2 linked regions of the Oryctolagus cuniculus genome follow. The protein of the gene in region 2 interacts with the protein of the main gene of each other region in a biochemical or structural test. Links are inferred from orthologs where the notes say so. Each region holds a gene or a part of one and is shown on either strand. Other genes may lie near its edges. The genes, in order: FIS1 and DNM1L.

Region 1 (4,439 bases), on a different chromosome or scaffold from region 2:
GTCTTTTCTCATGGGGCAGAGGGAGCTAAGGATAGCAGCTTCCCAGGTGAGGGTTTTGGCCACATGTTTGTGGAACAAGAGCGGAATGGCGGGTGGAGGGGGGGGTTCTTGCCACACCCAAGCCAGAGAACGGGGTGCTGAGCTGGTCAGGAGTGCCCAGCAGGCCTTCCCGGGGGAGCCTTGGGGCTGAGGGCTGGGGCTGAGGTCTCGGCTCTCGCACCCCCAGCCCCGCTGCCAGTCCGTGCCTGGGCCACAGTAGCAGCCTTTTGCTGGCGCCCAGCTTTCGTGCTGCCCCCGTGGTCTTCTCTCCAAAAGCGGCCAGTGCGATCCTTTTACAAGGAATCGCTGCTCTCCCATCGCACAGAAAGTCAGATCCAGCCCTGGCTAGCCTGGGAGGCCCTGCGCGATCGGCCCGCGGCCATCCTGCCGCCTCGCTCTCCGTCACTCAGGCTGAGCCCCGCGTCCGCCTGGTGCCCCCTCCTCGAGGCTCCTGCACGTGCTGGCGCCCCTGGCCTGCATGGCTCGTTGCCGCAGGGTCAGAACTGGGCCCCGGCGTCACCCCAACGACAGCCCCGTCCCGTCTGATTTCCCCACATGCACAACACGGCTGACGCCAGGGGTGTGGGTCACGGCCACACCACGCGGTTCTCTGCCGACACCAAGGGCAGCTCCGACCCTGTCCGTTGGAGTTGGCATCGGCTCCCACCACGGACAGCGCTGGGCCTGCAAGCCTGCCCCCAGCCCGCGTGCCTGTCCCGGGGCCCAGTATGTGCCCCCTGTATGCTGACTGCCGGGCTGTCAGTCGGGGGCTGCCACGACCCCAGTCTCAGGTCAAACAGACCCCATCCTGAAGCCATCCCTGCCCACCGGGGTTCCCTTGGAGGGAGCTCTGTGCGCAGGGCCCAGCCGCTACGTCTGAACGGCACGCATTTCTCTCCCTGAGTTTCACGGTTCCCTACTGAACTATCAAGGCCAAACAGGGAGGGGTGACTCACAAGACCGTTAGAGCTACAGAGCAGCGGGCTTGCAGACCGGAAGGGCGTCCCCCTGGTATCAGCTGCATCTGCCTGATGCCGTGCGTGTGCACAAATATTTACCTTGCTGGGCGCTGGGCGCTGGGCGCTGGACGAACGAGGCAGCGTCCGCCCTCCTGGAACTTCCACTCCAGCGCGCACGGGAGCTCAGCCTCCCACGGCCCCAGGTGGCCACTCGGGGACGCCCAGGAAACGGTTGGTCCAAGTACCACTTGGAAGTCGCACCCTCTTGCCGGGAAGGAGGCCCCCCGCTAACAGCGTCCCTCGGGGGCACAGCTCACAGGTGCAGCTGTCCGGCCCTGGGACCCTGGTCCTGGCTGCGGCTGTGGCAGGCAGGGAAGCCACGCAGCCTCGGCCGTCCCTGGTGGCCGACAGACCCCTGCCTGGTCTCCCACCCTTCCCTTTCTAGTTTTGGCCCGGGGGCGACGTCCGCGGGAGAGGGCACAGGCGAAAGCCCGGCCCGGGCTCTGCGGGGTGCGGGGTGCGGGGTGCGGGGTCCGCGCGAGCGCCCCCTTCCGGCAGGCTGCCTGGCGAAGGAGGGGCGGGGCGTCGCGGGTCCGGCCCGGGGGCCGCATCCGCCGAGCGCCGGAAGTGCTGCTCCGCCCCTGCCGCTGGGCCATGGAGACTGTAGCACAGTAGAGTCCACTGTGAGGAGAGCGGGGGCGGCGGCCATGGAGGCCGTGCTGAACGAGCTGGTGTCTGTGGAGGATCTGAAGGTGAGGCCTGGCCCCGAGGGAGGGCGCGGGGCGAGTCGGGGACGGGTCCTGAGGAGAGTCGTGTAGGGGCCAAACCCTCCTCCCAGCTTCAACTTTGCTAGGGGAAGCCGAACTACAGCTCCCGGCAGGCCTTGCGCCGTCCGGCTCCTACCTCAAGGGAGCTCTTTGCCGCAGAGGCTAGTGGGAATTGTAGTCTCTTCGGCCACCACACCTCCGAACGAAGACTTGGCGTCTAACCCCAAAAAGGCTGTCAGGTGCGGGTTGCCGCGTAATTTGGGAGGTCAGGGCGTCCCGTCGGTTGTGGGGGAGCACGGCGACAGCCATAGCGCGTCACACGTCACTGGGTCCAGCACGATGCGCTGCACGCCAGGCCTTGGCCTTTGTGGCCCCGGAAGTTAGACGAGATAAGGTGCAGAGCCGGCAGGGCGGAGCAGGCGGGCCAGCCGCCGACGCCGAAGACGCGGGGGCTGCTGACGGCTTGTTTACTGCACTGCCGCCGCGGTCAGCTGCTCCGGGAGCGGTGCCTGGAGCCGCCGGCAGGTGGCATCTCCGCTTGGCGCCGCAGGGGGGTGTGAGCCCCGGGGTGGGTCCGAGAGCTCGCCTGCATCCCGGGTCCGAGAGGCCGGGCGGAGGAGCCCCGGGGTGGGTCCGGGGAGCTCGCCTGCATCCCGGGTCCGAGAGGCCGGGTAGGGGCGAGGGGGGCGCCGGGCGTGCCGGGTACCAAGGCCCGAGGGCGGCGGGGAGGGGTGGAGGCCTAGAGAAGCAGAGCCGGGGATGGGACCTCAGCTCCGGATGCGACGTGACTGACACTCCTCACCTCCCCAATGGTCCCCTCGCGTGTCCCGTGGCAGAAATTTGAGAAGAAGTTTCAGTCCGAGAAGGCGGCAGGCTCGGTGTCCAAGAGCACACAGTTTGAGTACGCGTGGTGCCTGGTGCGGAGCAAGTACAACGATGACATCCGCAAAGGCATCACCCTGCTGGAGGGTGAGCGCGCCCCGCCCCCGCCCCCGCCGTCACTGGCCCTGGGGTCCCTCCGCGTGGACCCAGCAGTGCCCGGGGCGCTGCGGTTATGCTTGCGCAGGCCTACTGAGCGTGTAGACCCCCCCCGTGGCACGGCTCCCTACACGTGGCTGTGGCCTGTCTACACAGCGGGGGGACTCCGAGCGCGGGGCCGTGCGTGTTGGTTACACGCGAGAATCTAAGGGGCCTGAGCATCCACAGAGACTGGTGTCCGTGAGGGTCCTGGAGTGTGCCTCCCCCCACCAGGGCGCGTGCTCGGGCCAGGTCCTCTCCCGCATCACCGCTGCGCCCCAGCTGGTGCCCAGGCCCCTCTCCGAGCTGCTTCCTCAGCCCCCTGCCCCTTGGTGTAGGTGGGCCCGCGGCAGAGGCCGCAGAGCTGGGCGGCCCGTCGCCCCGCGCCCCCTTTCTCTGGGTCCCTGACCGTGTACGAGGCAGCGGTGGGCGTCCTGGCCAAGGCTGCCGGTGCCCCTCGCCAAGCGCCCCTCTTGGTGCGGACGCTTCTTCTCCTGCACGGGGTTAGCCTCAGCGGGGCGCAGCCCTAGAACTGGCTGAGGGCACAGTGCAGACCCAGGACACCTGCTGAGCAACCAACCTAGCGCAACCCCCACCCCCACCCCGCCCCGGAAGTAGTGAGTTTGGAGCAGGTGTTCTGAATGGGGGGGGAACAGCGTGTTTTGCAACAGCGATGGGGCCATAACCGTTTGGCCCCTCCCGTGTCCTGTCGGGTCACGTGCATTGACACGGGGCGGCTGTCGCGGGCTCCCGCTGTGGCTGCGGCGGGGGCGGGGGCGGGGGCCGGGGCCAGCCCAGAGCAGCAGCGCCCCCTCCCCTCCGCAGAGCTGCTGCTCAAAGGCACCCAGGACGAGCAGCGGGACTACGTGTTCTACCTGGCGGTGGGCAACTACCGGCTCAAGGTAGGCGGGGCGGGGTTACGCGGGGTCAGGCCTGGGCGGCCTGGTTATCTCCGCTTATCGCCCCCAGCAGGCGAGGCTGTTTGTGGACTCTAGTCCGCCGGCTGCGGCTGCGGGTGGGGCCGCAGGGGGAGGGCGCGGGGCTGAGGCGGGCACGCCCCCCGACCTTCCCGCGTGCAGGAGTACGACAGGGCCCTGAAGTACGTGCGGGGGCTGCTGCACACGGAGCCCCAGAACAACCAGGCCAAGGAGCTGGAGCGGCTCATCGACAAGGCCATGAAGAAAGGTGAAAGCCGGCTCGCCCGCCCGTGCCCGCTCCCGGCGAGGGGGGCGGCGGGCGGAGGCCCTGACGGCGCCCTTTCCTCCCCCAGACGGCCTGGTGGGCATGGCCATCGTCGGAGGAATGGCCTTGGGCGTGGCGGGGCTGGCCGGACTCATCGGACTGGCTGTGTCCAAGTCCAAATCCTGACCGAGACTGCACTGCCCGCTCTGCCCAGGCGTCCCGGAGCCGCGAGGACCCGCAGAGAGGGCCCTAGCCCCGCCGTCCCCTGCCTCTTCTCCCCCACACCTGTCACTCCTCCCCATGGCCTTCACCCTCCGCTGCCCGGGGACCTGTCCTTAGCCCCAGATCTTGTGCTCTGGGACGAGTGTGAATAAAATTGGGCCGCGGCCGGGAGCCTTCGTGTCGTGAGTTGGGGGGGCGGGCGGGAGCCACCTGGTGCAGAGGGTGAGGGGGCCTGTGGTCTGCCCGGTGCCCC
Region 2 (3,805 bases):
TGCCACCGGCAATGCCAGCATCCCACATGGGTGCCAGTTCTGAGTCTCGGCCGCTCCATTTCCATTCCAGCTCCCTGCTATCATGCCTGGGAAAACAGTGGAAGATGGACCAAGTATTTGGGCCCCTAAAACCCCTGTGGGAGACCCAGGTGAAGCTTCTGGCTTCTGGCTTTGGATAAGTCCAATTCCAATTGTTGCAGCCATTTGGGGAGTAAACCAAATGGAAGATAAATCTCTCCTGCAAATAAATAAATATTTTTTAAAAAAAGCCATTCATAAACCTAAATCATTATATTTATACCTCTTAGGAAACTTTTTGTTTTAAAGGTATTTTATTATTTAAAGTCATTAGGGGTAGGAATCTGATCTAACAGTTAAGATGCAGCTGGGACACTTGCCGTATCTCTGCCTGGCTACCAGTCCCAGCTCTACTCCAGCTTCCTGCTAATTCACACCTGGGGATAGCTGAATTCTTACCACCCATGTGGAAGACCTGGACTGAGTTCCCAGCTCGCTGCTTCAGCCTGGCTGAGTCTCACCCAGTGCAGGCATGTGAGGAGTGAACCAGTGGATGGGACGCTCTCTCTCTGTCCACTTCTCAAATAAAAGGTAACCATTAAAGATACAGACATTATGTGAATTATTTTTGCCTAGCCTGTACAGCAACTTGACAAACTTATTTTTCATCAGAATTTCTATTTGAAATTATAAGCAAAGTAGGAAAGCATTCCTTTTTTAAACTCTGTATTAATAACTGGAAATATTCCTTTTAAAAATAGAAATTCCTTTCTTGAGATTTATCATTGTCAATCAAGCATCTAATTAAATATTAACACCTATCCTTACCGTCTGGATCTACCTCTCTTGAAATTTTCAGGGCCTCTGATGTCGCCATATCTGTATTAGCAGCAGTGACAGCGAGAATAATGGAATTGGGATTGCTGATGAAACGAAGAATGAGCTCTCGGATCTGAAGCTCAATATCCTTAGGTTGATCACCTACAGGCACCTAAACCAAACAGAGATGAGCAAGGAACTAATAATAAAATCAACTCAGCAACCCCCCCCCGTCATTAATTTACAAATTACAGGTTATTTCTCTATTTGCAAACTGTTAACATAATGAAATTAATGATACTACAGGGGTATGCATGAATTTGGTTAATGTGTGAAACAGCAAAATTTAACTATTGCAAGTATCCAAAGTTGACCAACATGATCCCATGTGAAGGACTAGTCAGTGCTAACTGCCTGAGAGACAACTCCATTCAGTTATCCCAGGTCTACTGATGGCCTACCATGCTTCGGGTCCTTTTCTACATGTCAGAGTATAATACAGCAGTGAATCTAAAACAGACCAACCGTTCTGCCTTCATAAACCTGTGTTGTAGTGATTACAAATACTCATAGTATCCAGGTGGTAGAATGGGCTATAATAAATACAACGGTAGACTCTGCAGGGATGATCTGAAACTGGGTTGTTACCTTTGAGAGAATGACAGAAAGTGAAGATGGAAAGGGAAGGGCACACGCAGGTGTCTGGGAAGGAAGTCCCAGGCGGGGTGACAGCAGGCAGGAGCATGGAGCAAGAGTCAGAAGAAGAGCATGGAGACACCAAATAGACACTTAGATTTCTGTAAGAACTCGGGCTCCTACTCTGAGTGGAATGGGAGGCTACTGGGGCGAATTTTTAGCGAGGATGGACACAGTCTAATGTTTAATACCATCACTCTGGCTGCTTAGTTAAGAACAGGCAGATAATGAGAAAGAGCTGTTATTTATTTGCTTGTTGTACCAACCAAACCAGGTGAATTGACACTGGTCTAATGAGACACAGTAGCATTCTGGGTGTCCTGTACAGGTGAGGACAGCAAAGAGGGCATGCTGACAGGAAGTGTAATGCAGAATAAAAAGCATAAGGATGACTACAAATTTTGGCTAAGCAATTGGTAGAAGGGAGTTGTCATTTATTGAGAGGGGAGAAGATTAAAAAAGGGTCAAATCTAGGAATTTGGTATCCAACTTGTCAGATCTATAACGCTTACAAGACACTTAAGTGTACAAGGGTACTTCAAAAAGTTCATGAACATGAAATTTAAAATGTTACTTTGGTGTGTAAGTTTTTCAAATCAATGTGCAGTTTTTCTTAATACACATTTTCTACAAACTTTTTGAAGCTTTTTATCTGTCAAGCAGACAGATATACAAATATCTGGAGATACTTGAATGCCATCAACATACAGAACCTTAAGTATTTTAAAGCCACAAGATCTGAAGAAATCATGTAGGGGACGGAGTCCAAAAACTGAGCTATGGGGCACTCACTGTTCAGACAATGGGGAGATGAGAAGAAATCAACAAAAGAGACTGAAAGAAGTGGCCAGTGAGCTTGGAGATAAACCGGAAGAGTATGGTATCCTGGAAGCCAAGTAGAGAGAGTGTTTCAAGGAAGGCTCAGCTCTATCAAATGCTTCTAACAGGTAAGTGTGACTGCAAAAAGAAGCTGGTTATTCTCACCCGGGGTTAGGGAAAAACCACAATGTTTCAAGCAAAAATTAACATAACCAAAATCACAATGAGTAACAATGACTCCTTACCTTGGTCATTCCGGGCAAATCCACAAGTGTCAAATTGACAACGTTGGGTGAAAAGATCTTAAGATGAATTGGTTCAGGGCTTACTCCCTAAAAGTAAAATATATATTAAAATTATATTAACAATTCAATGAAGAATGCAATACTGTAGTAAATCTCATTTCAAGCAAACATTACATCTTTTTAAAAATGTATTACATTACAATCTATAAAACGTTTTAAAAATCTAAACCTGTTGAAATACATGGGACATAAATCAGCTGGGTTATAATACTACTGAACCCCATACCAATAATAAGAACAATTTATTTCCCCTGTATTAGTTTGGTTTCTTTTCTCTTGATTCTAAGCATGTATCATTTCTTAAATATGTTTAATACAGTGCTGAACAAAACAACATATTTCTCACTATCCAAATTTAAGAGGTCCCAGAGGTTCAGACAAGGAAACACAGGTAAATTATTCAATTAAATTTGATGGGGTAGATGGGCGGGCGGGCGGACATTTGGAAAGATGGTTAAATCAAATTGCTTGGGACATCTGTATCCCATATCTAAGTACCTAGTTCAAGCATCCAGCTCCCTGCTAATGTGCACCCTGGGAGGCAGCAGGTGATGGATCCCTGCCACCCATGTGGGAGAACCAGACTGAATTTCGGGCTCCTACTAGCTGTTGCAGGCATTTGAGGAGTGAACCAATACATCAAAGATCTACATCTGTTTCTCTGTCTTGTAAATAAAATGAAAATACACAATTTTTGAAAGGGTTATTGCATAGTGAGGTTGTTTCTTGTGCTACAAAAAGGGGGAAGGGATCAATTCGGTTCTTGATCTTTGAATATCAAGTGGCAACACTAGTGTGATAAGAGATTTCTAAGGAAATACATCTGGGCTGGTGCTTCCGTGTCTATCCACAGTGCTCCAAGTCCTCGTGCAGAGCCCCTGGAGTACACGTTTCGGGCCACTCATGTGCCCAGTCCGTCCAAGGTGGTTGCATTCTCTCCATTACTGAACTGAGAGGGGGACTGTGCTGCTTGGATGAAGCTTGTGGGATTTTTGGTGAAACTGAGTGATGAAAGTGTAACCACTGCACTGAAGAATGGGACACAGGTCCATGGAACAACCATGGGTGCAGATGCCAGCATGAACACATACCTTGAAGCTGTGAAAATGACCCAGAGGAACAGAAACCTGTACAGCTAGATACACGGA

What was found.
Region 1: the proteins of DNM1L (region 2) and FIS1 form a complex in vitro, tested with the Homo sapiens proteins (2 studies listed by BioGRID). The link is inferred for Oryctolagus cuniculus from reciprocal best matches to the Homo sapiens genes DNM1L and FIS1.

What each region holds. Positions count from the first base shown.
Region 1 is NC_091450.1:43,420,787-43,425,225, reverse strand, and holds FIS1 (mitochondrial fission 1 protein), read left to right. Parts: upstream 1-1,566; 5' UTR 1,567-1,705; coding exon 1,706-1,750; intron 1,751-2,601; coding exon 2,602-2,734; intron 2,735-3,607; coding exon 3,608-3,684; intron 3,685-3,861; coding exon 3,862-3,967; intron 3,968-4,052; coding exon 4,053-4,150; 3' UTR 4,151-4,357; downstream 4,358-4,439. UniProt on the Homo sapiens protein: Involved in the fragmentation of the mitochondrial network and its perinuclear clustering. Plays a minor role in the recruitment and association of the fission mediator dynamin-related protein 1 (DNM1L) to the mitochondrial surface and mitochondrial fission.
Region 2 is NC_091440.1:128,780,432-128,784,236, reverse strand, and holds part of DNM1L (dynamin-1-like protein), read right to left. Parts: exon of another isoform or gene 3,511-3,805; intron 3,049-3,510; exon of another isoform or gene 2,977-3,048; intron 2,685-2,976; coding exon 2,598-2,684; intron 2,481-2,597; exon of another isoform or gene 2,165-2,480; intron 1,010-2,164; coding exon 847-1,009; intron 1-846. UniProt on the Homo sapiens protein: Functions in mitochondrial and peroxisomal division.